4 linked regions of the Lonchura striata genome follow. The protein of the gene in region 2 purifies or fractionates together with the protein of the main gene of each other region. This does not show direct contact. Links are inferred from orthologs where the notes say so. Each region holds a gene or a part of one and is shown on either strand. Other genes may lie near its edges.

What was found.
Region 1: the proteins of RBX1 (region 2) and FBXW8 purify together in Homo sapiens (affinity purification with western blotting; 6 studies listed by BioGRID and IntAct, with this or other methods). This does not show direct contact. The link is inferred for Lonchura striata from reciprocal best matches to the Homo sapiens genes RBX1 and FBXW8.
Region 3: the proteins of RBX1 (region 2) and FBXO22 purify together in Homo sapiens (affinity purification with mass spectrometry; 4 studies listed by BioGRID). This does not show direct contact. The link is inferred for Lonchura striata from reciprocal best matches to the Homo sapiens genes RBX1 and FBXO22.
Region 4: the proteins of RBX1 (region 2) and FBXO42 purify together in Homo sapiens (affinity purification with mass spectrometry; 4 studies listed by BioGRID and IntAct, with this or other methods). This does not show direct contact. The link is inferred for Lonchura striata from reciprocal best matches to the Homo sapiens genes RBX1 and FBXO42.

The regions. Positions count from the first base shown.
Region 1 is NC_134620.1:3,365,941-3,373,163, forward strand, and holds the start of FBXW8 (F-box/WD repeat-containing protein 8), read right to left. Parts: upstream 3,213-7,223; 5' UTR 3,210-3,212; coding exon 2,922-3,209; intron 155-2,921; coding exon 50-154; intron 1-49. UniProt on the Homo sapiens protein: Substrate-recognition component of the Cul7-RING(FBXW8) ubiquitin ligase complex, which mediates the ubiquitination and subsequent proteasomal degradation of target proteins.
Region 2 is NC_134607.1:24,897,022-24,904,099, reverse strand, and holds the start of RBX1 (E3 ubiquitin-protein ligase RBX1), read right to left. Parts: upstream 3,123-7,078; 5' UTR 3,067-3,122; coding exon 2,989-3,066; intron 723-2,988; coding exon 644-722; intron 1-643. UniProt on the Homo sapiens protein: E3 ubiquitin ligase component of multiple cullin-RING-based E3 ubiquitin-protein ligase (CRLs) complexes which mediate the ubiquitination and subsequent proteasomal degradation of target proteins, including proteins involved in cell cycle progression, signal transduction, transcription and transcription-coupled nucleotide excision repair.
Region 3 is NC_134613.1:4,671,165-4,678,762, reverse strand, and holds the start of FBXO22 (F-box only protein 22), read right to left. Parts: upstream 3,030-7,598; 5' UTR 2,976-3,029; coding exon 2,872-2,975; intron 2,783-2,871; coding exon 2,650-2,782; intron 1,696-2,649; coding exon 1,608-1,695; intron 1,286-1,607; coding exon 1,190-1,285; intron 344-1,189; coding exon 179-343; intron 1-178. Other genes in the region: UBE2Q2 (ubiquitin-conjugating enzyme E2 Q2), read right to left, coding at 4,688-4,719, 6,432-6,498, 6,937-7,032. UniProt on the Homo sapiens protein: Substrate-recognition component of the SCF (SKP1-CUL1-F-box protein)-type E3 ubiquitin ligase complex that is implicated in the control of various cellular processes such as cell cycle control, transcriptional regulation, DNA damage repair, and apoptosis.
Region 4 is NC_134626.1:6,609,839-6,617,870, reverse strand, and holds the start of FBXO42 (F-box only protein 42), read left to right. Parts: upstream 1-4,961; 5' UTR 4,962-5,046; intron 5,047-8,032. Other genes in the region: SZRD1 (SUZ RNA-binding domain-containing), read right to left, coding at 1,099-1,149. UniProt on the Homo sapiens protein: Substrate-recognition component of some SCF (SKP1-CUL1-F-box protein)-type E3 ubiquitin ligase complex. Specifically recognizes p53/TP53, promoting its ubiquitination and degradation.

The sequences.
Region 1 (7,223 bases), on a different chromosome or scaffold from region 2:
TCACCATTTCTGCCAGTTTTAAGAGCAGCAAACTGCCAGCAGCACTCACCTGAGCACACCTTCCCAGCTCAGCCTTGCCCAGGTACTGGAATATCTTCAGCGCCAGCTCGTAAGGCAGCTGCACGTCGAAAAAAGGAACCTCATTGATTTCATTCTGGAAAGGAAAAAGGAGAAAAGAATTGGTGAGGCTGGTTTAACACACAGTTTGACAGCAGGAGAAGTTACCATGTATGGAGAAGGAATGGTGTGTCCTCAGGGCCACCACAGCTCCATGAAAACATCTGTTTTTCTGCCCCTCCCTTTTTTCATGGCCCTTTAAGGGGCAGAGAAAGGCAAGACACAAGTTCTAGTAAAAGTTTGGCTAAAGTGCCAAAAACGCCCAATAAATGATCACTTTGAAGACATATGCCCATTATTAATTTCACCTGCAAGATTTCAATCCCATATGATGGGAAAATGAACAAATATTTTAAATAAAACTGAATGGAGATGATGTTGGTTTCTTTCATTACTAATATAAAAATGTTTTTTTTAATATGAACTGTTCCTCCTTTAACTAATTGAACAACTCAAACAAAAATATGAAGCTAAATCCATCCATTTAAGCTAACAGCTAAATGCAATACACAGATTTTTTTTCCCAGATGTATTTTGTTTGGTTTAATTACATAACTATTACATCTTCTTTCTGCAGTTATCACAAGATTTATCTTTGCTCTTATCCTGTCTGGATATTCAAAATTTTTATATTCTCTAATAGAGAAAGAGCTAAATCAGCTGATTCTGACCATTTCTATGTTACAAGTTTTGCTCTCCAGTATTTCCTCTGGTTTCTGTTCCCCCTCCAGGTGTTCCTGATCATTGTCCATCAATCCTCACATACAAAATCAGCTGCTCAGTTAAAACCCATCTCCACTGTTTGCCTTCAGAAGCTCGGTATCATCTCTTGTCTCTTCCCTAACCCTGGTACCTTTGTTTCTTTGTTGGTCTTTCCTATAGCTTCTCATTCAAATCTGGACCATTTGCAGAACCAAAGTAGAATAGAGGGGCTATTCTGGGTTTATTTAAAGCAGTTACTCAGGGAAATCCCAATATAATGTGGTGGTGTGGTTTTTAAACCAAAGTATATTCTACACCAGGCAAGTGTTTAGACAACACAAACATGGGCAATGTTCCCCATCAGGTCTTTTAGCAACAAAATATCACTGCACACACACTGGAACCTTCCACTTGTTCTGAAGTTAGTTAAAGCAGGAGCTGCAGCCAGCCCTGCTGCTGCCTCCCTCCTCATCCCCAATTTCCCTGCACAAGCAGCTCCTTTTCCCTGCCCCGTGCCGGGGCCGCCGGCTCTGCTCCCCGCCGCGGATCCGCAGGATCTGTTTTGCTTTCGCGTGCTGTAAATCCCACCCGTCTCCAGCGGGGACACCCAAGGAAAACACAACGGGAACCTCTCGGCGGCCACATGCCGGCAGGCTCCGAGCTGGCCAGATGTGATCCCGCCCGGCTCCAGCAGCCGCGGAAGCGCTCCGGAGCCACGGGCTGCCCAAACAAATCACAGGAGCCACTGGGCAAGGATTGTTAGCTCCAGGCTTACGAGCTCAGGCACGGCAGCACCGCGGATGTGCTGCTTCCAAACTGGGCTTGACTCGTGTCCAAGCAGCAGATCCCGGGCTGGCTGGATGCCCACAGAGGGCTCACTGCAAGGACTGAGGGCTGCAGGCACAGCGGTGCCGACACAAGGCTCGACACCGACGGTGCTCTCGAGGAAAGGAGGGAAAAAGAGCAAAAAACAACTACATAGGCTTTCTATAAACCGAGCTGCAAGAAGATTTATACCCTGCTTCAAATAAACCCAGAAGTGCCTTTTTTTTCTGCTTTGGCGCTGCAAAGGGTGCAAGTTTAAATGAAGAGTAGCTGTAGAAGAAACCTACAAAGAAGCAAAGAAATGGGGGTTAGTAAAGTGCCAGCAGGGAGGGGATGATCCCGATTTGAGCACAAAGTCATACTGATTCCATTCCAATGCAATCCTAACATTAGGGGCAGAGCCGGGTCTTCCCACACCCCCAAAAGTTCCTGCAGCTTGTCCTCAGCACAAGGAAGCAAGGATGTTAAGTCAGCACCAGTCTGTCTAAAAGTCTACTGGAATGAGTCCAAAACTCATATACAACCAGCCCCTCTGAGACAGATTCGGGCTCCTGTGTGCTAATGGAGCACTAATTCTGTAAAATGGATTAATTTGTGCCTTGCAGACAGAAATTTAATCTGTTCCTTTTAATTTTTTTAAGCAAAGAGTAATTAGTCATAGTGAGGTTAGTGAGAAACAAGAAAATGGGTTTCCCCCCTAGTTTTCCTATACTGTAAATAACATCTCTATGGCATTTAGAGGATTTACCAAAATAACTTTTATGTGGTTCAGAACTGTATTTAAGACTATTTCCAAATTAACTCCTTTATTTAGAATTAAAGCTTGTTTTCTTACTACGCTGCTGTGTCATAAGGCAGGATATCCTTAATTACTGCACCCGCATCAAACTGCCTGGGTAAACAACAAAAATCTTAAGAGGAAAAAAAATATTATTTCATAGAGTCACAGCATATGTCGAGTTAGAAGGGACCCTCGAAGATCACCGAGCCCAACTCCCGACCCTGCACAGGACACCCCAACAATCCCACCCTGTGCCATTACACAGGACAAGCAGATTCGGAAGGGTTAAAAAAGTTAAAGGTTAAAAAGGACCTATATTCAGAAGCTGAGGTTATAATCAAGCACGCAGGAACACAAATCCAACTCCCCTTCGCTCGCCGCCCCTCAGCCGAGCCCCTCTCCGTGCCCCGGCACCGGCCCCGCGCCCGCCCTGCCCGCCGGGGCCCGGCCTGTCCCCGGCACGGCCCCGGGGCCGCCCCGGCCCGCGCAGCCCTACCAGGTCTCGGATCAGCTGTCCCAGCAGATCGTCCCCATCTCCGGCTCCGTCCCCCGCGGGCTCCGCGGCGGGCCGGGCGGGCGGCGGGCTGCGGCGGGCCGGGACGCCGCCGGCCAGCAGCCTGCGGGCCAGCGCCAGGTACTCGGGCTCGGCCGGGGCCTCCCGCGGGGCGTCCCCCGGCCTCTCCGCTGGCTCCTGAGGGGGCTCCTCCCGCCGCCGCCGCTTCGCGGCCCCGGCCCGCTCCTCCTGCCGCCGGGGCCGCTCCCGCTCCGCCGGCACCGCGGCCATGGCGGCGGGGCCGGCCCGGCGCGGCACGGAAACCGCGCCCCGCGCCCGCGCGTTCCGCCGCCACAAGGTTCCGCCGCCGCCGGGAGCGCGGCCGGTGCCCGGGAACGAGCCGGTGCTGGGGCCGGGGCCGTCGTTTTGTGATCTCCACAACGAGGGCGGCGATGGCGGCCTCAGGGCCCGGCCTGGCTCTGGAGAGCGGCGGGGGCCGAGCGAGGCTGCGGCGATGGCGGGGTCGGTCTGGGCTCCGGGCCCCGCTGGGAGCCCTCAGCCCCCTCACAGCCATGGCCGGGGATGGGGCAGGGTTTCACTGGGAGCCCTCAGCCCCCTCACAGCCATGGCCGGGGATGGGGCAGGGTTTCACTGGGAGCCCTCAGCCCCCTCACAGCCATGGCCGGGGATGGGGCAGGGTCCCGCTGGGAGCCCTCAGCCCCCTCACAGCCATGGCCAGGACAGGGCAGGGTCCCTCTGGGAGCCCTCAGCCCCCTCACAGCCATGGCCGGGGATGGGGCAGGGTCCCTCTGGGAGCCCTCAGCCCCCTCACAGCCATGGCCAGGACAGGGCAGGGTCCCTCTGGGAGCCCTCAGCCCCCTCACAGCCATGGCCGGGGATGGGGCAGGGTCTCACTGGGAGCCCTCAGCCCCCTCACAGCCATGGCCAGGACAGGGCAGGGTCGCGTTGGGCATCCAGAGCCCCGCTGGGATCCCTCATCTCCCTCACAGCCATGGCCAGGACAGGGCAGGGTCTCACTGGGAGCCCTCAGCCCCTTCACAGCCATGGCCAGGACAGGGCAGGGTCTCACTGGGAGCCCTCAGCCCCTTCACAGCCATGGCCAGGACAGGGCAGGGTCTCACTGGGAGCCCTCAGCCCCCTCAGCCATGGCTGGGACAGGGCAGGGTCTCACTGGGAGCCCTCAGCCCCCTCACAGCCATGGCCAGGACAGGGCAGGGTCTCACTGGGAGTCCTCACAGCCATGGCCAGGACAGGGCTGGGTTCCACTGGGCACCCAGAGCCCCACTGGGAACCCTCAGCCATGGCCGGCCCCACTGGGAGCCCTCATCCCTCTCACAGCCATGGCTGGTCTCATGGGAGGGTTGTTGCCCGTGGAAGTGGCTGCTCTGAGTGATCAATGTACCTCTCAGAGGCCATTTTCCCCTTTCTCTTGGGCACGTCTGAAGCTGAGCAGGTGGGCAGGGCTGGCACCCCCGGGCAGGTTTCCCCCACCGCTGCTGTGCCCACCACACCTGCTGGGATGGTGTTCTGCTGCTTGAATCACACCCACCTCCTGCAGCCACCACAGCCCGAGAGCTGCCACTTTGATGGCGTTTTGGGGAGGACACGAAGTTGGCTCAGCTCCTCTCCACAATCAATGCACCTTGGTGCTCTAAGGCTGTGTTCAAATGATGCTGAACCGCAGCTGCAAACTTCTGCCACTTCAGCCAGTCCAGCTGCCCAGGAAGCAAAGAGGCCATGAGTACTCAAGTCACCAGAATGATTCCTGAGGAGCCCGCAATGAAGTAGAGCAGCTAAGTGATGTGTTGGTGTAAGTCAAACAGCTGATCCTTCTAGAACTGACTGTAAAACACAGCCCATGCTGTCAGCAGCAGCTTGTGCAATTACCCCCACCCTGGTGTCCACCTCTGCCTTCCTCACTGGCCACTTGATGCTTCCTCTTCTCTACAGCTGGTTGCTGTTTATAAAACCCAACTTAATGAACATGAACAGTGGTCCAAGAAGAACCCAAACTACCTCATTTAGGGGAGGAGCTCCTGTACGTATAAATCCTGCAAAAAGGACAGGTGGGTGAAGGCTGGCCTTGCCTTGGCCTCTGTGCTGGACCCCAAACCCCTCCTGCCCTGGGCTGAGCCCCCAGTGTGGGCAGCAGGAAAGGAGGGGGAGATTCTGCCCCTCTGCCCTGCTCAGGTGAGACCCCACCTGCAGAGCTGCCCCTGGCTGGGGGGTCCCCAACATCAGCAGAACCTGGAGCTGCTGGAGTGAGACCAGAGGAGGAGATGCTGCAAGGGCTGGAGCCCCTCTGCTCTGGAGCCAGGCTGGGAGAGCTGGGGGTGCTCACCTGGAGAGGAGAAGCTCCAGGGAGAGCTCAGAGCCCTTCCAGGGCCTGAAGGGGCTCCAGGAGAGCTGGAGAGGGACTGGGGACAAGGGATGGAGGGACAGGACACAGGGAATGGCTTCCCAGTGCCAGAGGCAGGGCTGGATGGGATATTGGGAATTGGGAATTGTTCCCTGTGAGGGTGGGCAGGCCCTGGCACAGAGTGCCCAGAGCAGCTGTGGCTGCCCCTGGATCCCTGGCAGTGCCCAGGGCCAGGCTGGATGGGGCTTGGAGCAGCCTGGGACAGTGAAAGGTGTTCCTGCCATGGGAGGGGTGGGATGGCATGAAGTTCAATATCCTGTCCAGCCCAAACCAGTCTGTGATTCTGTGACTTGTTTTCCCTACAAAACAATCACTTGCAGGGACCTAGAGGAGGTGTCTCCCTGGGGTGCACGTGCTGGTGAGCCCCGCCAGTGCTGGGATTGCAGACCAGGATCTGCCCCTGCAGCAGGGTGTGGGGCTGCTCCAGGGAGGGTGGATGGGCTGGGATGATCTGCCAGGAGGTTCGCAGCAGCTTCTCTGCAAAGCCGGGGGGAAACAGGGCCAGTTTGGGGTGATTCCTGACCCACGGGGAGCCCCCCGTGTCCATCCCAGGGCTGGTGGGTGCAGGGAGCCCTGCCCGGGGGTGCCAGCCCTGCTCCCATGCCCTGGCAGCCGGGGAGGCCCGCGGGTCAGTGCCGGGGGCTGCGCGCTCCTGCCTCGGCCACCCGAAATGTGATCCGAATCCGTAATGCTGTGGGTGATGAAATCGGCTCCAGCTCTGTGTAATCCCCTCACTGCCCCCCTGCATCTCCTCGCTGTCCCCTCCTCCAGCCCACAGTCATCTGCAGCCTCGCACTGTCCCTCTATCCCCACGCCATCCCCTCTGTCCCCTCTATCCCCACATTGTCCCCCATCCTGTCCTCTCTATCCCCAGTGTCTCCTCTATCCCCACAGTTCCCACACTGTCCCTCCACACTGTCCTCCGTCCTCTATCCCACACTGTCCCACCTTCCTCACACTTCCCCTCTATCCCCAAACTGTCCCTCTGTCCCCACGCTGTCCCCTCTATTCCACACTGTCCTCTCTATCCCCAAATTGTCCCTCCATCCCCACAATGACCCACTCTGTCCAACCTTCCCCACTGTCCTCTCTGTCCCACACTGTTCCTCCATCCTCATGCTGTCCTCGCATTCCTATGCTGTCCCATCGAACTCCCACCCTGCATACCAGACTCTTCCACCACACAAGCACTGTTCTCTCCACTCCCAGTCCCACACTGTCATTCCATCCCGTGTCCCTGCATCCCCGTGCTGTACCCTCCGTCCCAACACTGTCCGTCCGTCCATCCATCCATCCATCCATCCATCCATCCATCCATCCATCCATCCACCCATCCATTCCCATATTGTCCCACCGAACTCCCACCCATCCCTGGATACCAGAATGTCCCACCACACCAGCACTGTTCCCCCCAGTCCCCCCCATGTCCTTCTATCCCCACACCATCACCTGCATCCCTGTTGCTGTCCCTCCATCCCCACTCTCCCTCCCATCCCTCCGCCGGACCCCAGACCGTCCCACCGCCCCACCGCTGTCCCCCTGCCGCCCACCCCCGCGCCGTCTCCTCGCTCCCCCCTCTCCGCCCGCGGCCGAGCACCGCCCCGCGGGGGATGATGTAACCCCCCGTCCCCCCCGTGTCCCGCCCGCGTCCCGCCCGCCGCACACTCGGCGGGCTCGGCGGCGAGCGGACGCAGCCATGTGCCCGTGCGCGCTGCGCGGCCCCCCCGCGCCCTGCAGCCCCTGCGGCCCCGGCCGCGCCGCCCGGCCCGAGGCCGCCGCCCGCCGGGTCGCCGCCCGCCTGCGCCGCCTGGGCGATGAGCTGGAGCAGCGGCGCAAGGCGCGGGGCCGCGGCCCCTCGGCCGCCC
Region 2 (7,078 bases):
AGATTATACAGAAAAAAAAAATTCAAATTAAACCAATACTAATAATGTATTGGGGTTTTTTTTAGCACTTTATTACTCTCCTTTGTAAATGAGCGGATAATTTTCTAGGTGGCTACAAAATTCCCCTTACTATAACATGTGCTAAGTTAGTTAGATAAGGTATGTTTCATAGAACGAGGAGTCAAATTAATTTGCTGGTCCATGCTTTTCCTTGCCCAGGATAGACAGAGAGTGTTACAAGACTTCATCTTAATGAGTATCATCAAGAAGCTGACACTCATAGCAACCTCCCCAGCTCATAAGATCTTTCTTTGTAAGCAATGCCTGTCAACCCTGAATAATTTCAGTTCCTCTTTATTATTACTCCTTTTTTCCTTTGCTGTGTTCAAAATACATTCAACAGCATCATGTCTGTTGATATGGCATCAAGTGATCCTACCCTTTATGAGAAAAGGGTGAGGAAGAAACAGTATGGTGACAGAGGTCACAAAAATAGATTATGAGACTTCAGCATTACATAAAATAGAGATTAGCAGAAGAATTAGTTACTAACTGAAAACTGTGCTGAGTTATATCCTCAGCTGGGGTAATTTCAGCTATTCAGCACATACAAGTCCAAATGTGACCCTCCCCATGTACTTACACAGATCCATAATGTGGTTTCTGCAAATGGCACAGTTATCAACCACAATGTCCCATGCCCACAGAGCTACGGCGTTCCACTGGAGAGAGGGGGGAAAAAGAAAAACAGTTGTGATTCAATTTACGCTGGACAGCAATCCTTGCTATTCTTCAAGATACCAGGTACTTTTTGAAATAGAAAAGCTAGGATATTAAGGAAAAAACAAATCTTAGAAGTCCAGAACAATTCCTCATCAAGAGTTTAGGTTACTAGGAAGCAGTGGTACATTCCTCTCACAAACCTCCCAGATACGTCTCCTTCCCACCTGAAAAAGAAGGTAACTCCCACAGTCCCCCTTCCACTTTTTTTTTTCTGTGAAACAAATGCAAACATCTGGATTTCTATTCAAGATCCAATGGAATCCAAGGAAGTAGTTCATGTCAAACCCTAGATTCTGAAAGAAAGGACAGCCCCTTGGAGAAAGACCAATTCAGATGTAATTTTTGTTAAGAGGAATTCCTATTATTTGTGGCAGTTCTTCTAGTAATCATCCTTCTGAGCAGTTGGGGTCAAGAACTAAATCTCTAATGCTACTCTCCACTGACTCCTGAATAATGTTCCCTACAAAAGGTTAATAAGCAACAACCTATCGGCAAGGCTGGATATAAAAATTTCAAAGTACTATCAAATCAATCTTTCGAAGACTTACTTTATACATACAAAAAAGTAATAGCACTGTCACATGCTACTTCAGGGGGTTTGAGAATTTTAGGACAAGCTATGCAGAAAAACCTTTTTATGCCTCCAGACAAAACTCATAATCAGGTCTTCTGTAAACTCATTAAATAAATGGGCCTGCCTTCAATATCCAAAACAATCCAAAATATTGTACTGGTATCAGGATAATCTTCATTTACGACTTACGTAGTATAGATTTTTGTCCCCCTTACATTTTTTCAGTATATATTTGCACTGACTGTACTATCTTCTCTACTGTGTTCCATTTCCATCTCAATGTTTTCATTGCTTTCCCTCAGTTTGGGACATTAAAGAAGGAACACTGAGTTCCAAGTATTGATAGGCAGTTTCACACTTGGGTAAGCTCTTCAACTTTTCATTAGTACAGATATAAAAAGTAGTCACAATACTACTAGATCTTTTAGGACATGCACCAGTAGTGATCACATGTTTCTTCCCAGTCTTCTAACTTCAAGACTAGCTGGCCTTCTGGCTGAAGTATTCAGTCCTCATGGACTTCATCCATACTTCAAGCAGCTAAGATAAAAGTTCTCAGCACCCTTATCTCTTCCATACACTCCAATACTTAATCTCTTGTCCCATTATGGTCTACTCTGATGGCCCACACACCTGTACTGAGCCACACATGCAACAAAGGTCTTGATACCTTGCTGGGGAGCAGGAATGACACTGACATATAAATGCTGCTACTTCCTACCACTCTGATTATATTTGTCCCTATTTCCAAAGGACAAGCAATTATGTCACCCAAACACTTCCTTCTGCACATATCCAGGGGTTTCCATCATCACTGATGGCAGCTGCATTTTAAACAAATATATCTACAAGCAGGAATCACTGGAAATGTTTACTGATATTCAGTCTAGGAGACACTTTTCCTCAAATTGTACCTTAGTACAAGCCCACACAATCTAATCCTGCTTCTCTACACCCACGTGAATAGCCTCAGACCATCACCATGACCCAGCTGACAAACTGGTGGCACTGGATAGGAGAGCAATATTATGACTGCTCTGAGCGAGGAAGCAAAGCCAGGGTGGCATGAGAACATTTGCTCACTAATACGTTGTTATGGCTCGATTTATGTAAGAAGGAGGAAAAAGTCAGCCACAGACATTTGCAGAAAGCTTTTTACGCAGCATATGGGGCAGCCCGGGCGGCTGGGCCACGCCACAGCGGCCGGGGGTGATGGGGAGCTGGAAGCACTCCAGCGCTGCTCGCCCGCCCGAGCTCTGGGTAAGGAGTAGCCGAGGCCTGTCCTGTCGGGGCGGCAGCGTCAGAGGAGGCGAGCGGCAGAGCCCCGGACAGGGCCGCCCCCGGCCCGTCGGCGCCCCTGCTCCCGCCCCCACCAGCGGCGCCCGCTGATTGGCCAGCTCCCGCTGCACGTGCGGCGGCCCGCCTCAGCCATTGGCTAGGACGCACGCCAGGACTCCCCGCAGGCCTCGCGCCGCCCCTCCCACCGCTCCGGTGCGGAACCAGGCGCCCGGCTCCGTAAAGGGAGCGGGAATTCGCTCCCTTCTCCGTCCCGCTCTCTGGCATCAAGCCGGCCCCAGCCCCACCCCCGTTCCTCCGGGAGCAGCCAGAGGAGCGCGCCGGCGGGGCCTCACTTTCTTCACTTCGAAGCGCTTCTTGCCGGCGCCGCTGTTGGTTCCGCTGGGAGTGTCCACATCCATTGCGGCCGCCATTTTGGGAGCGTGAATCGGCCCGTCCCGCTCTGCGCGCGTGCGCGGCGCGGCGGGGCGTGGCGGGGCCGGGGGGCCGGAGGAGCGGGGGCGCTGGGAGGGGTCACCGCATGGCCACGCCCCCCACCGCCCCTCACCGCGCCGGCAGGTGCGGGGGCCGAGGGCGCGATCACGTGGGCGCGATCACGTGAGCGCGCTCCTGAGGGCGGTGGGAAGGGCGGGGCCGCGCCAAAGTTACCTCATCCCTCTGCCCGCAGCCCTCGGGCTCTCGGTGCAGCGTCCCCCTACAGTCTCTTGGGATTTGCCCCCCCGCCCTCTTCACATGAGGGGCTTCAGCCCTCAGTAGACTTCTAACTTGTTTTCGCCCATCGTAATCGAGGCAGGACGAAGTGGGGTCGGCGGTGTTGCCGCTGTAGCCCTTTATTCTCCCGCAAGTCCAGTTTTTTAAAAAGGAACATGGAATTGCTGAAGACAGGACGCGCACCTTACAGCGTGCGATTTGAGTTTACAATAGTTACAATCAATATGGATTTAAAGGTGCTGCCAGAGTTGCCCAGGCCTTGCCTGTTCTTTTGCAAGGATGGAGAGGAGATGACAGGCACGGTGGCCGATTCTTGGAGCTTCCTCTGTCTGTACCTTCCCGACAAGGTCAGTGGTAGTATTCTCCATGATATGGAAACTGAGGGCAATACACTCCCCAGCAGGACAACTATAGATCTTGAAATTTCACCCAGCTTTGCAGGTCCCTGTAGACGCGATCTCTCTGCAGAGCCACCCCTTCTAAATCTATTTGTACACTGCTGGTCCATGGATGTTGGAAAGAGGAGTTTGTAGAAGCACTAAAAGGCCATTCTCTTGCATAGATACAGGCAAGCAATATCTGTACTCTACTTCTCATAAATACTTGGGCCCAACAGCACCGTTCTGGTTTGCCTCCATTCTACCCGTCTTGCTGTGTGCATACAGCTTTTTCCTGAAACCCAGTCCTTGCTGGGGTGGAGTGTCTGACAGTCTCCAAATAGACTTAAACTTAAAGTAGGGACCTACAGTAAGAACGAGATGATGCTGGCATTGGATGTGTTTGAATTATTTTAATGTTTGGATTTGGATTAATATTTAAAAGACATGTACCACTTGTGCCTTGACTTATGCACATACCTAAATATTTGCAGCATCAGGCTGAGCCTGAAAGTTGCATAGGCAATAAAGGTAAGTTTGAAGAAGAAAAATGCCCTCCCTCATGTAAACACCCTTTAATGCCTCTCATTACCTACATGGTAAGCTTCCATTTCACTGAACTGCCCCTTTCCCCAGATACTGCTTGGTTATGGGGCATCTCTATCACTATAAATTGCAGCTGCACAAATTCAGATTTCTGTCCTGTTGCTCCATATTCAGGATTATTGCAAAGGAGTATTTTGAAAAGGGGAGTTGGGTTCTTCAGAAAGTATACTTTTCACCTTCTAGAAAATAGCTATTTTCAAATCAGAATTTGCAAGATTTCTTATTAATAGAAGCACCAATACTAACCTTAATTTCTAAATGTGTATGGCAACGTCTCCAGCAAGACATTTCTCAAGAAACCAGGACATTGATCAAACACGTAGACTAGGGCATATACATACCAGAGAGATGTTAACATTCATTTTCACTTGAAGTGACTAATGTAGTATAAAACTGTAGTCTCACCACTTCAGCTGATATCACCAGGGGGAGGTGGTTGCCAATGGGGTAAAGCCATACAGCCAGCAGTCACGTGCTCTGGATTTATCTTTCCTTATCTGGCAGAAAAAACAACGTAACAACACAGATCTCGAGTTAAGTCTTGCTAAAAAGGTAGGAGTGTTAGGAAAACAAGAAAGACAGCAAACATGGTGCAGGACAGAACACATATTGCATCTCCATGTTTAGTTAGTTCATAATTACTGATCTGTGTATGCAGATGCATTTTACCAATAAGTGCATTGAGAGATCTCCAGTACATTTTTCAAAGTGAAATTAGTGACAGTATAGTCCTGCACTTCATAAAAATGGCTAAGCTACCTTCTTTGCTTGAAATAATCTGTTTTCATTTTAGTGTTGTCTCTAATGTCTTCCCTTCTAGTAAAAGTGTATCTCCTCAGACCTGTTTTCCCCTCTTAAGGCTATATATTATAGAGGGTTGTCAGGAGCTGCTGCAGGAAGAAAGGCTGCAGCTTTGAAAGGCATCAGTTTCAAAAGAAGTATAACACTGTGGTCCAAATTACCAGGGATGCTTTGAAGAATGGATCATTTCTCAAACCTCTGGGACATGCAGGAGGAAAAAGAGAAGGCTGCCAAATTGAAAAGGCAGCGAGACAGACTAGGTGACATGTGACAACTGCTGTGAATATGGTTAGTCCCAATTAAAATGACACAAACTCTCTCCCAGTTGTCAAAGACTGTTCCTAAAGGCAATGTACCACCAACCTTTCAAAACCAATGTCTTGTATTTTGGTCACTGCCCTTCTCCTTTATATTCATTCTTTTGGTGGTTTGTTGTTTATTTTTCTACAGTCACAAACATTATCCTATGTGGGATTTATCCCTCAAATGCTTCCCTCCTCCATACATGCACTCTGAATGCGTGTTCCTGACTGGACTGCTGTGGAACTGCTCCTGGAGCGGTGGCTGCTTGCAGCCCTGGCTCTGCACCTGCACAAGGTGGTGCAGAAGGCTTGGTGGTGGCCATACTGACACAACTTGACCCTCCGGGGCAAGAGGGATCCACATGGCAGCGGGAGGATCCCCCAGAACTGAGCTAGAAGGAAAATGCAGACAGAAAAGGTGGATCTGCTTAGTCCTCACTGCCTGAGCTGTTTGCATTCTGTTTTCCAGCCGCAGAAAAGATGAGCAGTTATCATGACTGGTCCTCCAGTGTGACAGGATCTTTCTGGGGCACTTGGGTTAGTTAGGAAAAGAGCTGGTCTGAAAGAGAATTGCAGAACTTTCAAACACTCTTCAGAGTGAGTGTCTTGAGAGTTAAGTATGGGCCTTCCAAGACTGCCAGGAGCAAAGAGGGAGATGGCCCTTTTCTAAGTGCTTACAAACCTCAAGTTTTCTCTTGCCATTCTCTGCTTCACCATCTCAGTGCTACCTGCTTAAGGTATGGTTTCAATGGTGTCCTAAGCAGCATCAAGCAGAAATAAATCAGGTGCACTTTATTACTTTTTAAAGAACTGTAGGGCTGACTGGTTGGCTGCCTTCCAGTTGCTGATGCTAGTAAAATTATTTGAGTTGTCCAAGTTGGGATTTCTAGCACCCTTTGCTTTTGGATGCACAAGCCCACAGACAGCATTCATAAATTACTGTTGGGGCAATATTGCATCTATGGTTATTCTGTGTTGCCACAATCTCAAAGTTCAAGAAGTAGGCAAACAACCTCCCAGCAAAGCTTTGTATAAGGCTCTGTAGCATCTCCAGTTGATTCAGTGTGCTTGGCATAGGGAAATTGAATTCAGAGGACAGAGCCAGAGGGGTACGTTAAGGAATATATCCCATAGATTTTTGGACCACACTGTGTTTGCTTTCTGTGGAAACCCAAACACCCTACCTCTGTGTATGTTTTCCAGATGATGGTCACATTAAAGCCCATATAGTACCCCTGTCTTTATAAGCCATTATTAAAACCTCACGAGAGAATGGGAGCCTCCGAACTGGCTAAAAGGAACAGGTAAGGTTCTGAGAGAGGTGCAGGTTGTAGCATTTAATGGGATGGTGACTGATTGTTGCTCTTCCTTTCTCTTGGCATTTTACCTTGAACTGCTTGATAACTAAAATAACATGCAACCATTGTGGCAGCCTGCAGGAAAGTGGGTGCTTGCAAAACCCACGATACGATACATACTGACTCTGCCCAAACTCCTGCAGAGCCTTTCCCCACACATGAACAAACAAGCAATTGGGTCTGTGCCTGCGGGCTCAGCAAATGACACAGTGGGTCCCACACCACACCTAACAATCAGCTGCAGCTGATACAGAGGAACACGGTCAGGAC
Region 3 (7,598 bases), on a different chromosome or scaffold from region 2:
ACTTCTCCTCAGTACTCCAGAGACTGAGAGGAGCAGAGATGCACAGACACCAGCTGGAGCCCCACAGAGGCTCTTGGAGCCAGTACAGAAGCTGCTGGTTCTACTCAGAACTCCAGACTGGCACTTCAGAGAGCAGCACCTCACAAAAGCCCACGTAAAGGAGAGAAAAATTACATACCTGCTTCAGCAAATTTGCTTTCATCAAAGACCCTGTTCTTCACATCTTTAGAAAAATGGAAGGTATGAATTTTCACCCCATCAATTTTGGGAAACAACAGAGCAAACCCAGCTTCGCCCTCTTCAATTTCTTGAGGCTGATTGCTACTTGAACCCATCGGGGTAACTACGGAGACAAAACCAAGGATCTGGTGTTCAGAGATTCTAATACAAGCATTTACACTAACACAGGCAGAAAGAGGTAGCTCAGGTGACATAAAACATGACAATCTAATTCCGTAACAACTTATCTAATTGAAAACTAACTTTTTTTTGTTAATGTTTTGGAAAGATGAAATGCTGGCTATGGATCATACTGAAGTCCGTTTTGACATGGAGACATGGATATATCTCCCCAGTCACACCAAATATAAAACATGAGGCAAACAAGAACAGTGCAATACAAGCCTTCCTGCCAACTTCTGCAAGCACACAGACATACTCAAGTTTTTAAGATGTCCTATAAGCATGTGATGACAGTATAAAGCAAAACTGACACAAAAATTGAGAGCGCATTATTAAAATATGGCAATGACAACAATCAAAATACCTTACTTATAATGTGGGAAGCAAATTTAAGGTGAGAAACCATAAAAAAACAAGTTTCTAATGATAAAAGTGGAGAATGAGAAAAAGCATGCCACAGGAGGCTGTGAACTTTCCAGTTACTGCATATGCCTCCTGCTAGACCATTTCCAACAGGTATATACTAGGATGCCCTCTACAGTTGGTCACAATATGACTGAAAATTATATATAAATCCAAGCAACATTCAGTAAGTACATTAAGGTGCCAGGGAAAGCTGCCTGCCTAACTGAATCAACCCTTTTAATTTTAACTGTAATACATGAAGTAAACACTACATCACTTAGTAGTGACACTGTGAACTCCTTAAAATTGAAACCAGTGCTGAACAGTGCTGAGATGACACCTTCAAGTTGACCTCTCAAAAACCCACACATTTTGCTCCTACCTACAATCCCTGGGGTGACCAGTCCAAGAACCTGACATCGCTTTGGCAACAACTTTTCAAGTGCGAGTGCTGTTTCTTTACTGTTCCTTTTTCTGGCTGTTAAAACAAGAAGAAACCAATACAACCATCAGACAGCAGTAAAAGTGTGCTCTGAGGCAATCCCACAGCCGATCCCATCCTGTTTAACCAATGCTGCCCATCCGTGGCTGCCCTGGTAACAGCACGCTGGTCTGTGCTGCTCCCTGAGAGCTGCCGGCAGGCAAACACGCAGCGTAAATGCAACACTACGCAGTCACGGATTCTGCAAAACATTTCCCTTCCACTGAAACCCAAACACAGAAAATTCCCTTTCAGCTGACTATGCTCTACTCACATCCAGTATGTCTTTAAGTGGGAGTGAGTTGGGTCCAGGCTTTACCTTTCTTTTGTTCGTGACACTCCTCGTGCCCGCTGAATGTCTCTGCATCAGCGATGTAGAGCACGGTCTGGGGCAGCACGTGCACCTTCTGCAAAGACACAGGTGGAGGAGTACATAGACAGGACTATAGTAAAAAAGGCAACCCCAACTAGGAAGAAACGATGATGTCTGGCTCCAGATCAGAAGGCTGAAGGACAGCTTTATAAAGTTACACTAGATTACACTAATATACTATTTAAAGAGCAACTATACTATTCTACATACGTACTTCTTACCTATCAACTAATTACCAACTAACAAACTTGTGACTGCCTGCTGAGAGTCCGAGCCACAGCTCAGTCCAGGTGGACACTGAACCCAAACAACCTTCACCAGAATCCAATCCAGCGATAAATTCAGGTAAACAATCTCCATACCAGATTCCACATGGGAAAAACAAAGGAGCAGAGATAAAGATTGTTTTCTCTTCTCTCTGAACTTCTCCTGAGAGACAGAATTACGTCTCTCTGTCCAGAGAATGTGAATGCCACAACAGGACAGAGTGGAGAGAAAGTGGGGGCAGAAACCGAGGATAAACAGCTCCTGCTCCACCGCCAGCCCATACTGGTCCCCTCCCCCTTACCAGACTCCTGCCAGCCAACAGATAACCTCTCATTAGCTTCAAAAGTGCCCAGAGGCATTTCTGCCCACAGGCAGGAAGCTGACCCAAACCTCACAGAAGGAAGAACAGCTCAGCAGACTGGCCCATGACTCTGTTTCCTCTTTTAGCACTATCTAAACTCATTGCATTCATGGTTGTTGGCCTCTACTGTCACCAGTGCTGATGCTGGTAAACAGCGTAGAGGTGCTTCCGGCCCATCTTGTCCCAGTTGATTTAACGCTGATCCGCTGAGGCTGTTTGCTGCTGAAGACCCGACACGAATCGTTGTGCGGTGAGGACCAGCAGCAGGCTGAACGGAGCGCTGCGGGCGGCGCAGTCCCGCGGCGTCGCTGTCCCAGCCCGCGCGTTCCGCCGCGCCCGGGGCGAGCCCGCGCGCCTCACCTCGAGCTCGCGCGCCAGCGCGCGCACCAGCGCGTGGTTCTCGGCGGGGCCCGGCTCCAGCGCCGACACCCACGCGATTCGCTGCCGCGTCCGAAGCGTCCGCCGGGCGCACTCCCTCCACAGCCGGCACACGCTGCAACACAACACCGACGCACCGCGTCAGCCGCGCCGCCCCCACCGACCGGAGCCGGCCGCCGCCCACCCCACTGTCCCGGCCCTTACCAGGCGGCGCGCAGCAGCGCCTTGGTGGGCAGGAAGCCGAGGACACGCTCCACCACCTCGGCGAGGTTGGCGAGGACGTAGCCGCCCTTCGCCGCGGAGTCCATGGCCCCGCCGCCTCCCCGGCCCCGCTGCCCCGCGTCACCGCGCCTACGGCAACTTCCGGTCAGCGCGAGCGGGGAGCCAGTGCACTGGCGCCGCCTGGCGGCGGGGAGGACCCGTCCCGCTCTCACCTCCCCCCTTCCCTCGCGCCCCGGGCCCCAGCACGGACACAGCGCTTCGTAAAATGCTTTTTATTCATAAACTTGATGCAAGTTTACAAATTACTGTACATTGCCGAGGAACTCTGCCAGAAGAAACGGAACCCCAACCGAAGCATGCGCCGCAGGGCGCAGGCCGGGGCCGCCCCAGCCCCGGCGCACCGGAACAACGCGCCCTGGGAGCGGCGCTAAACCTCGCCCAGCTCGCTTCTTTCGAGCTAAAAACTGGATCTACAAGCAAATGCACAAGGACCCGCGGGCGCCTGATAGAGAAAAGAGCATAAGTTCGATAGTCAACTAAAAAAAAAAACCAACATAAAAACATGCTTTTGCACTTCTGAAATGCTTAATCCATGGAACACACCCTTTGCTCGGCCCCGAGGAGTGCACACGCCTAAGGAATAGGAAGTACTACAACCAAAATAAGTCGATTCCGGTAAGGCAATGAAATTGTGTAAGTACACAGACCCAGACTCATCTCCTAATAAAGAAAGAACAGTTCCCATTAGTCTTTCAATAACAAAGCCACCGTCATGACTATGGCAGCATTTCTTACACCTCTAACTGGATGACATGTTTTCGTACTTTACTGTCGTTTTTATATAAAAAATTTTCATTCAAGGACTTTCATCTCATTTTGTGCCAATCACTTTATAAGTTCATTAGTTTAGAAATGATTGCAACAACCCGTTAATAAAATGGAACACCTAAAAAGGTTTTTAGTATTTTAAATAACTTCAAGCTTCATACTGTGGCTCTTGTTAAGGAGCTTGAGCCAACAAGTAGCAGGAACAGTCCAGCAAGTTCTGATGCCCCAGTGGACATGACTAGTTACAAGGTTTTATTGGCACAGCCTTGCTCTGCATAAAACCAAAAAACCAAAACAAAATTTAAAAAAACAAACAAAAAATTTAAAATAATCTAAACAAAGAGCATATTTTCCAATAAAAAGTTCATATTCTCATACAGCCATGAAAAATGTTTAATGACTTAACATACATGTGTTTTTCCTATATCATTAATTCGGAAAATACTACAAACGCTGTCATTTTAGACCAGAAAAACTACTGTGATTTGCAAGACCTGACATTTCCTAAAACAGTATTAAACAATGTATTAAACTTCTTGGCTTTAAATGAAACAATACAATGCAAGTCTCTGCAGTCTGCCTTTTGCAGAAAGTAAGAAATACACAGAAGTGTGTGAACAACTCACTCCTATTGTATGATCTTTAGTAAGTCAATAGCCTGCTGCAGGGAGAGTTTATGCTTTCAAATAAAAAAAGGGAGAAGGGAGGGTGTGGCCCAAATCTGCTTACTCCATAAGAACAAATATGGTAAAGGCCCAAACTGCTCAGTCCAGATGCCTAAGAGCGGAATGGTAAGGCTGTAACTTATACTGTACGTGTCAGTTGACAGAATATCCACTAACTTATCTAATAGCTAAAGTCCTCAGTACAGCTGTTATAGGGGCACTCATAGCTTGAGTCTGTGTGTTGGGAAACATAAAAAAGAGCTTGTTTTGTTGACATTGGTCCAGGTATACAACAGTCCTCAGCCTTAGCCATCTTCTTTTGGAGGAGTGTACCAGCCTGTGGAGAACAGAGAGATGTTAGGTACCAAAGCTGCTGTGTCCAGACCATCCTACTCTTCACCTGTGGGAGATGGAAGCCTAACCTGGCTCAGTCCTTCCCTCTTAAAGCAGGCCAGCTCAGCAAGACCCAGTGCCCTAAATGCGAGTAAGTCAGCAGTGCAAGACAAACTATGTGGCACATACCAGGATGTGACCTGGTATTTGGGTGTGCACACACAGATTTCTACAGCAGCAGCTATCCTGAGCTGGACAAGCGGAACACTAACAAGGGGAAGCTGCTGAAGGAGGAACATTGCTCTAACCAAACTTAACAGAAGAGAGGTAAAACCCACAAGTCTTCAAGCTACTTAAAACAGACATATAAACGTGACTGCACTGGGACACTTATTTTGAGTTCTGTAGAGTTAGGCATGCAGAAGCAACTGAATGGCTTATCCTACTTCTGCAAGTCTTACCATAGGAATAAGCTCAGAAATGTCAGATGGATAACTGGTCTCCTGGCCTAATTTGGCATGTTTAGCAGCTGAATCACACCTGATCAGGTGTGCACTGCTTTTTCTAGAGACCTCCAGAGCTCCAATCTTAATTCTCCCAGCCCCTCTTGTAACATTTCCTTTAAACGTGTACAGTAACTACAAGGCCTGTTTGTGCTGTCCCAGAGAGCAAATAGCACCTCTAAGCTTAAGACACCTTTCACAGCAGCACTGAGTACTGTGAAGGCTTTGTGTACAGATCCTGAGGCAGGACTGATCACTTGCAGCACATACAAGTAAACAGCCACGCTGGCTTTTGTAGCAGACGAAAAGGCAAAAGGCTCAGTTAACGGCAAGATCAAAATACTGTAAAATTTGAGATGATGTTAAATCATTATCTTTGATCTTCCTCCCAAGAGTACAAGGAACAAGTTATGTTCCATGTGAGCAGCAGGGAAGCTGAGGTGCTCACAAACACATTTACAATGACCTCAGTTCCTGGAGGACACTGTGTCCAACCCAGAGCCCTGAACAGCATGGAAGTGTAACTGCGCTGGCTCTATCATCAAAAGACCAGAGTATCAATTCTGCTGACTACCTTTATGTAACATGTAAGCTACTTAAACCTTTTATAGCCTCAAGCTTCTCATACTGCCACAGTAAATTCAATTGTACCTGAAGCATTTGTACACTTGTTTTATGCAGCAGAGATTTTAAAAAGCCCATACCAAAACACGCTTTTCCCTATTCTATTGTACACTTTCCCAGCTTGTACACCTCACTTGGACTTTTTGTATGTTTTAGTCTCGGGTCTTTTTTCCCTATTTTTTTTTTCTTTCATTAATGTTATTTCCACTAGGTTCTTGACACATTGAAACAAAATCTTTCAGGGAAAGGGATAAACTCCCAGCAGATACTTCACCAATATTAAAGAGTCCTTAATACTTAATGCTACAGTAACAATAAAGTCCCTAGATCAACTAGCTGAAAACAATACGCAGCTGCCTTTCAAGAAGCAGCAGGAACACACACAACATTCAAGTAAACTGGAAAAGTTGCAGTGATTGCAGTGAAGTTATTTAAGCACTACTGCTTTTCTAGTGCAAGAAGAAGGAAGAAACATTAATGGTCTTCCCAAGCCAAAATAAGACACTTTGTCACTTCAAGTTTCTCTGTGGCAAACACCAATTCCCAAGGTGCTGTGCAGACAAGAACAAAGTGGCAAGAATATACATACCATTTTTCTCATGTATTTGTACTAGTGACTTATAGGACTGCTGTGCTCTTGCTAGATTATATTGATTCTGAAAGGAGAAAAAACTAACATAAAAACCTGCATCTAGACATGAAGACTCAAAAACAGTTCTAACAAGGAAATTCTACAGTGGGCTTAAAAATAAACTCCATACACAATGTTATAACATTCCTGGCTTTCAGGATTCCCTTCTCAGAGCTGGAAATTCCAAATCTTCCCAATTCTAATCCTCCTTGCCTCCCCCTCCCTTGCCGATACAAGGACAGTAAAAGCCTACCCTGCCCATCCCAAGACTATCTAACTCATCTGCTTGTAATTACATAAAAAATGTTTAATTGCCAATAAAATACACATACAGGCACCCGCCAAGTTGAAATGCATATATATTTGCCATAACAATTTTGTCATTAAGCATCCTCAATGTGGGTCAGCAAGGAAATGGAATCCCAACAGGGATTTGTGTAACTAAGAAACACAGTACATTTACCTTATTGGCTCCAAACTGTACTCTGGCTTTTCCTTTGACTAAAGTGGCATTGATCTGCATGATGACTGATTCTATTGAGTAGGCACTGCTCCAGCCCTGGAGGAGGAAAAGAATGCCAACATACAACATATACTTGCTTCTTGTGCTCACCTTGCAAACCTGTTTTGGAACATGTGCTTTAGGATTTTTTTTCCTGCATTCAAGTTTTAACTACTTATTTTCAGTTAACATTTCTTTTCCACAGAAAATCTGTAAAATTATATACAGTCCTAGTACTAATAACTCGTAAGAAGAATGAAAAGGCTGAAGCACATTTCCAAAATATAGAAAGACAGAAACAAAAAAGCTCCATCCTTACAGCATTAACACTTTTTCATCAATGTCACAACAGAAATTACAACCCCTTTTTCCAAGAAGTAGGAAAGACTGATCTCTAATGAAGTCAATTCAGTAAGCTGTAGGAATTCTGCTCATCTCTGGTATTGCTTTACCTTCCACAGCTCACAAGAGTTTCTGCCAGAGCCTGCAAGTAAGTTACTTCATTCATTTACTTACTTTAAAGAGAAAAATCACTCTGTCTACAAAAATAATCTATGACTATAATCATCTGTATTCCTCACTTCTCCAGAGCTGACTTTATGCAGTTGAAGAGGCTTCTAGAA
Region 4 (8,032 bases), on a different chromosome or scaffold from region 2:
TCCTGGAGAGCTTTTCCAACTTCGAGGATTGTGTGATTCCCCAGGGAATCTCCCTGCTCATCAGCACAAGCCGCTGAGGTCATGAGCACGAATTCCCGACAGTCTGGACTGGCAAAAGGGGTGAGAAAGGACAAGTGACAGGGATTTCTCCTTCTAAGGAAAAGCACCTGGGAGGTACCAGCAGGAAGGACAAACTGAGAGGACGCTCCATGGCAGGATTGGAGCATCAGGACCATTTTAAACCATTACTCAAGGCCACAGTCATGGGGCTGCCGAGGCTGCAGCCGTGTCCGTGCATGGAGCGCTGGAATTAACTCCGATCCCCCGGCCTTGGCAGGAGGGGCGGGCGAGGGCTGCGCTGCCAGCCTGGCACTGGCCCCTCTCGGGCGTTCGGTTACAGGCTGGATTTTGCTCCCTGCCTCTGGCCAGCTGTAACCCAATCCCTCGCCCACAGTGTCCCGTCCAGGCTCCGGAGGTCCGCGTGCCCTCTGATCCTCGGGAAAGCGCTGAAAGCAGAGTTTGCCCGGCGGAGTTTCCCCTCGCAGGGGCGGCTGTATGTGCAAGCACAGCGCTCACAGACTCGGGTCCCCGAGCGGCGATGCCAGCCCAGCTCCGGAGCCGCTGCTGCAGCAGGGCCCAGCCCCAGCCCCGGGCCGGGACTCCCGGCGCTGTGCCCGGGGACGGAACACGTTCCGACCGGGGAAAGGCCTTGGGTGTGCGCCCGCAGCCCCGCCGGGGGCGCCGCCACGCCGGGGTCGCACATCCCGGCTCCGCTCGCCCCTCCTGCCTCACCCCGCGGCCAGCGGAGCTCTGTGCGAGCCCAGGGGGGTTTGCGCACCGAGCAGCGGAGGACGGGCAGGGAGCTGCTCGGAGGAGGGCCCCGCAGCACCGGCGAGCAGCGGGGCTGGGGGCGGCGCGCAGCCCCCCGCGCCGAGCGAGCCCGCGGTCCCTTTAAGAGGCCTAGCAGCGCCGTGCGGCCGCCGCGCCGCCGGACGCGCCCCGCCGCCGCCCCCTCAAGCAGCGCCGCGCCGCGCCGCCCGCCCGCGCCTCCCCCCGGCGCCCCGGACCCGCCGCGCCGCGCCGCGCCGCCGCCCTCACCCCGCTGTCGGCCGCCTCCTCCCAGCTCTCCGCGACCTCCTCATCTTCCATTTTAATTCCCGTCCGCCGCCGGGCCCCGCGCCCCGCGCATGCGCGCGCCGCCCGCCGGCCCGCGCCCGGCAACGCACGCGCGGCGCGCGGAAAGGGCGGGAAGCGGCGGCGGGGCGGGGCGCCACAGCGCCCCCTGGCGGCCGGGAGGACCGCGCTCGGCGCGTGCGTCTGAGGCGTTTTCCTTCCATTTTTGTGTTTTCCTTCAATTTTTGTGTTTTCCGGAAGTTTTGAGATGTTTTCCCTTAATGAGATATTTTACCTTAATTTTGGTGTGTTTTCCCACAATTTTGAGGAGTTTTCCCTTAATTTTTAAGTGATTTTCCTTGATTTTGGTGTGCTTTCTCTTAATTTTGGGGCCTTTCTCTTAATTTTGGTGTGTTTTCCCACAATTTTGAGGAGTTTTCCCTTAATTTTAAAATTATTTTCCTTTATTTTGGTGTGCTTTCTCTTAATTTTGGGGCCTTTCCCTTAATTTTGGTGAGTTTTCCCACAATTTTGAAGAGTTTTCCCTTAATTTTTAGGTGATTTCCCTTGATTTTGGTGTGCTTTCTCTTAAGTTTAGGGCCTTTCCCTTAATTTTGGTGTGTTTTCCCACAATTTTGAGGAGTTTTCCCTTAAAGTGATTTTCCTTGATTTTGTTGTGCTTTCTCTTAATTTTGGGGCCTTTTTTGTTTGTTTGTTTTCCTATAGTTTTGTTTTCTCTTAAATTTTTGGGTCTCTTATCTTAGTTTTAGGGTTTTTTCTCTTAATTTTGAGCCGTTTTATCCTAATTTTGGGTTATTGGACAAATCTCTCCTCAAATTTAGGCTATTTCAGCCACTAATCCAGCCTCTGGTCCCTCCTGCAGACATCCAGGTGTCCGTGTGTCCTTCCATCCAATTTGTGCCTCTTTATTTAAGCCCAAATCTTCTCTTATGGAGCACAAGGATCAGCTCCAGCCTTCAGAAACATCCAAAATCCCCCAAGCCCCCATAATTTCTTAAACCTTTCTCATTTATATCCAAGATATTCACCACTCCGATGTTGTCCTTTGCACTCCGAGCCACACAAAGCTTTTTGGAGTGGGATTTGCTTTTCCTTTTCCTCCCTCAAAAAGCGCCCCTTCAGCATCCTAAAAACCCCACAGGGTTCACACAGGGAGTGGGAGAACCCTTAAAATCCGAATTTTTCCCCAAATTCCCACCTAAGAGCCAGAGTTTGCCGGCAGATGGCGACTGACTCCTAAAAATATCCCAATAATCCTCCAGCTAAAACAAATCCTTATCCCTGCGGTCTGCCCCGACCCTGAGTCTCCCGTTCCTCTGCCAAGCCCAAAATTTGGGCAGGGAACCTCCGGACAGGCCGCAGGTGGATTTTGGGGGGATGTTTATCCAAGGTGGAACTGTTGGAGGGGGTCTGGGGGTTGTGCAGTGCTCCATGGGCATTAAATCCTTGGATTTGTGCATTTTTGGCAGCTCAGCGGGGCGGGACTCGGCGTTTCCCCCCACCAGGAGAAGCTGCAGCAGGCTGGAGCTGTTCCTGCTCATCCTCTGGCGTTTTCCCAGAAGCAACAGGAGCTGAGTTTTCCAGCAGCCAGAGCCTGGCACGGTTGGCTTCATCCCTTCCAGTGTTCCAGCGGCGCTCCCTGGGACGTTTCCTTCCATCCTGCTGTAAAAAATCCCCTTCCCAGCCATGCCTGAGCCCGAGCAGCCCAAAAAAACCAAGCGGGATCTGTTGGGAATGAGGCACTGATGGCTGTGGCACACAAAAAGGGGGCTCACCTGGAAGGAGACCGTTGGAATTTGTGGTATTGGTGATTCTGAGATTGTAGGAAGTCTCTGTTTTTTTGTCCCGTTGCTAAAGAAGAAGCCATAATTTGTCTGTGTTGGTTGTTAAGGTTGTTTATTCTTGCTTATCTCTAACATGTTCTGCTGCCCTGCCATAGGTGTGGGGCTCTTTTTTTAGTGGGACATCACAAACATTATATATTAGAAACTACGTGTGCCATATTTACAATAATGGGCCAATATTTATAATTTATCTTGAACAGTGTGTCCCCAGCCTAAACCAACAGAAAAATGCCAACACCACAGTGAAACATGGAGGGCATGAAGAAGGAGAAAAAGGACAAGGCACACCCAATTTCCTCCATCTTGTCCCCTTTGGACCCCTCATCTAAAATTTTACTTTTGCACCCGTGCCACAATTATTACTGATATCAAACACTCAGAGCTGGTAATTGATCCTGTAAGGTTGAAAACTCTTTTCCATGGCCAGAGATCACAGCCAGTGTCTCTGGGGGCTCTGTCCAGGGGGGTTCCTGACCCCTGCCAGGGTGCCAGGGCAGCCAGAGGGAAGCTCTGGAATCCCACAGGAGACAAAACCCACATGTGTGACCAGGTTATCCCAGCCCTGCACAGGGACACCCACAGATCCTCCCGTGTTATCCCAGCCGTGCACAGGACACCTGGGATATCCCACAGCTCCTCCCGTGTTATCCCAGCCCTGCACAGGACATCTGGGACATTCCTTGGCTCCTCCCGGGTTATCCCAGCCCTGCACAGATCCCCCGGGACATCCCAGGGCTGCACCCAGGTTATCCCAACCCTGCCAGGGATATCCACGGCTCCTCTCGGGTTATCCCATCCCGGCATAGAGCACCCGGGACATCCCATAGCTCCTCCTGGTTTATTCCAGCCCTGCACAGGACACCTGGGACACATCCCATAGCTCCTCCCGGGTTATCCCAGCCCTGCACAGGGACATCCCAAGGTTCCTCCTGGGTTATCCCAGCCCTGCACAGGGACATTCCTTGGCTCCTCCCGGGTTATCCCAGCCCTGCACAGATCCCCCGGGACATCCCAGGGCTCCTCCCGGGCTATCCCAGCCCTGCACAGGAACATCCCAAGGTTCCTCCCGGGCTATCCCAGCCCTGCACAGGGACATCCCAAGGTTCCTCCCGGGCTATCCCAGCCCTGCACAGGGACATCCCAAGGTTCTTCCCGGGCTATCCCAGCCCTGCACAGGGACATCCCTCAGCTCCTCCCGGGCTATCCCAGCCCTGCACAGATCCCCCGGGCCATCCCAGGGCTCCTCGCCGTGGATCCCGGCTCCCCACGGGCTCCTGGAGCCGCCCTGGGGCCGGGATGCCGCGCGGGCTCCTCCATGCGGGATGCGGCTCTGTGGGACACGCAGGGTGGCAGCGATCACCTTTTCCCTGGAGAATAATGTCCCACCGGCGGGACGCGATGCCAAGACACAGCCCCGCGCAGGGCTGCTCCCCCATGGAATGGGCTCCGCTCCCTCCCTTCCTCACCGCCGTGGGGAGAGGGGCAGCCCTGAGGGCACGGCCACATCCCGCCTCCCTGCCGAGCCCTCAGGCGCTCCCCGCCTCTGAGGGGCACGCAGGGACACGGCGGGGCTGCCTGCGGGCAGAGCGGGTCCCCGTGGCCCAGCCGCGCCTCCCGGGGCTGCGGAAGAGGGCGGGACACCGGGAGAGAGCGGGAGAGAACGGGACAAGGAACGGGACAAGGAGCGGGAGCCGCCCCGGCATCTCCGCCTCAGCGCCGCCCTCCCCAACATGGCGGCCTCGCCCGCCCGCCTCGCCCACCACGGCACTAGGACCGTCCCAAGATGGCGGCGGGACCAGCCAAACACGGCGCTCCCCGCGCTGCGCCGCCAAGCGAACACTTGACCTTCCCATCATGGCGGCACCATAAGGACACTCCACGCCCGCCCTATGTCACGTGATGTCGAGGGCGGTCCCGCGCCTGCGCAGTGCGCGGCCGGCGCGGCCGGGGCAGCGGCGGGAGGGCGGGGAGGGAAGATGGCGGCGCTGGTCGGAGCCGTCACCGGGGCGACGCAGCGGCCCCGCCGCCCGCAGCCCTGAGGGCCCGGCCCGGCCCGGCCCGGCGGCAGGTGAGAGCGGCCCCGCGGTTTGCCTTCCCCGGGCGAGGCCCTTTTCCGGGGAGCGGGGCGGCGGGACGGGCCCCTCGGGGCGGGACAGGCCTGGTGTGGAGGGGAACCACATTTGAGGGTGGAGGGTAAGGGGAGCCCCTGTGCCAGCCCCTGTGCCAGTCCCTCACAGCGTTTTGGGGGTGGCTGCGGAGGGCAGAGCCCACGGGGGGCTGCAGCCCCTTCTGGGAAGGGGAAGCCCCTTCCCAGCTCTGGCAGCCCCGGGGCTCCCTCAGGGCGGGGAGAAAGCGAAGCCTGCCCCCCTAAAAACCGGGTTGCCCTCTAAAAAAGCCGTATTTCCCCGCTGAAAGCCGTGTTTCCTTCCCAAAAAGCCAAGCTTTCCCCCATCCCGAAAGCAATGTTTCTTCCACGATATGCTGTGCTTCCTCCCTAAAATATATGTTTCCCCCCAAAAAGGACATTTCCCCAAAAACCTCATGTTTCCCCAGAAAAGCCATATGTTCTCCCTAAAAGCCGTGCTTCCCCAGAAAACCTCGTGTTTCCCCCAAAAGAAACACATTTTTCTCCTAAGACCTCTATTTTCCTCCCTAAAAGCCATGTTTTCCCTCAAATGCCATGTTTCCCTTCTAAAAGCCAGGTTTGTCCCCCAGACTCCATCCTTCCCCCCAAAAAAACATATCCGCCCCCCCCCCCCAAAAAAAAAAAAAGGAAAAAAAATAAAGCTCAATTTTCCCCCTAAAAGCCCTGTTATCCCAAAATTCAGTGCTGGCATAGGGCAGTGCCAAGGCGCAGGCTGGCAGTGCCGGTGGTGGGGGGAAATGGCTTTTTTTGGGGAGAAATTTGGCTTTTAGGGGGAGAGCATGGCTCGTCGGGGAGGAAACAGCTTGTGTGTGGGGGGGGATATGGTTTTTTGGGGGCAAGTATGTTTTTTAGAGGGGGGATCAGACATGGCTGTGGGTGCCCCCCCAAAACCTCAGCTCGCGTTGTGTTCGTGTGAAAACAAAGGTGAGGCTCGGTCCCCGCTTGAAGCCGCCGGGTGCGTGTCCGTGCCCCGCTCTCGGAGCGGGATCGAGCTGCCCAGCCCGGCACCCCCGGCGAATTTGGGGTGTCGCTCCCATTGTCTCCGCTGCCGGTGTCCGCTCGGGGCTTTGGGAGCGCGGTTCGGGATTGATTTGGGGCGGTGTGCTTGTCACGGCGGGGCTGGGCTGGGCTGAGCAGCGCTGCAGGAGCTGCATTATCTCATCCTTCCCAGCCTCTCGGCTTTTCCACTCGCCTTTCCCCGTCACTGGGGCCGGGAATCTTTTAGGAGGAGCGGGAGCAGGGCTGGGGTGGCTCGCTGTTCATGACCCGAACTCCAGGGAATGCTCGGAGCAGGAACAAAAGGGGAGCGGGGAATGGGAGATAACCCCGGGATCGCCGGGAATGTGGTTTGTGCTCGGCTGGCTTTAATCATCCCTGGGAGCCGGCTCGGGTCAGCAGCTGGAACTCTTCCCCGTGGCTGGAAGGATCGGGAATTGCGGTGAATTCCCGCGGAGGAGCTGCTGACCTCAACCCCCGCCCTGGATGGGAAGGGACCTTTCCCCACCTGTCCTTCAGGAGCGGAGCCTCCCAGGGAAGCCGCGGCTCGGGGGCGGTGCCGCGGTGTCCTGACAAAGTGCTTTATATCGCGACATAGCCACGCAGCCGAGGCTTGGCCTTTCTGGAGAACGAGTGCCAGAGTGAGAGGTTTCCTCATTCCCACAGCCCTGGGTGTTCCCACTACCATCTCTCCTTCCTTTTCCTTATGCTGATGCCAAAGAAAGGCTGAAAACCGTGATTTTTCCCTCAGGTTATGTCCGCCTAGGCTTGGTATTTCCTTGGTGTTACAAATGGGAGAGAAAAGAGCAAAATCTTGGGCAGAATTGCAGCTGTTTCATAGAATCGAGAAGGGTTTGGGTTGGAAGGGCTTTGCAGACCATCCCTGCCATGGGCAGGGGCACTTTCCCCTATCCCAGGTCCCTCCAAGCCTGTGCATTCCCAGCTCAGGAATGGTCTGGCTGTACGTTCCCAGTTCAGGAATGGTGTGGCTGTGCATTCCCAGTTCAGGAATGGTCTGGCTGTGCATTCCCAGTTCAGGAATGGTGTGGCTGTGCATTCCCAGCTCAGGGATGGCCTGGCTGTGCATTCCCAGCTCGGGAATGGTCTGGCTGTACATTCCCAGTTTGGGGATGATCTGGCTGTGCATTCCCAGCTCGGGAATGGTCTGGCTGTACATTCTGAGCGTGGGGTGATGTGGACACTTTTTGCAGGGCAGGGTGGTGCCTGCCTTGCACAGGTGTTGTTCCCTGGTGTTGGGCTCCACGCTGTTCTGCAGGAGTTCGTGTCTCCGTGCTCGGGCGGCGGCAGAGCCACATCCCGTGGTTGTTTTGGCGTGGCAGGGATGTTTGTGTGTATTTTTCCTGCTGTGTTCCCTGACAGGTGACTCCACCCAGGCAGCGTTGCTTTTCCAGGGTGGCAGGTGAAGCTCTTGGATTCAGAAAGGCTCTGGACAATTTAATCATTTTATCAACACGCAGCATATACGATTTTCAGTTTCAATTGGAGTTTCCTCCAGCCTTTATTCCCTGGGACTCCGTTTTTCCCAGAGTTTGGCTGCTGGTGCAGCCCTGAGGGGAGCTCACCTGCAGTACACGTGCTGCTGCCCTGCCTGGGCTTGGAATGAAGGTGGGGTTGGTTCATTCCCACTGCTGAACGTGGGTGACCTGTGATTTGGGGATTGCAGCCACTGCGTCGGGCACCTTCTGCAGAGGTGTTGGGATGTGCTCCTCATCCCGTCCTTAATCTCAGGAAATGCAATGCATGCAGCAGTCTGCACATCTGCCAGGAGTGACAGGTTTGGAGTGGGAGCGCGGGGATGGTCTGGCTGTGCCTTTCCAGCTTGGGGATGGTCTGGCTGTGCATTCTCAGTTTGTGAATGGTGTGGCTGTGCATTCCCAGCTCAGGAATGATG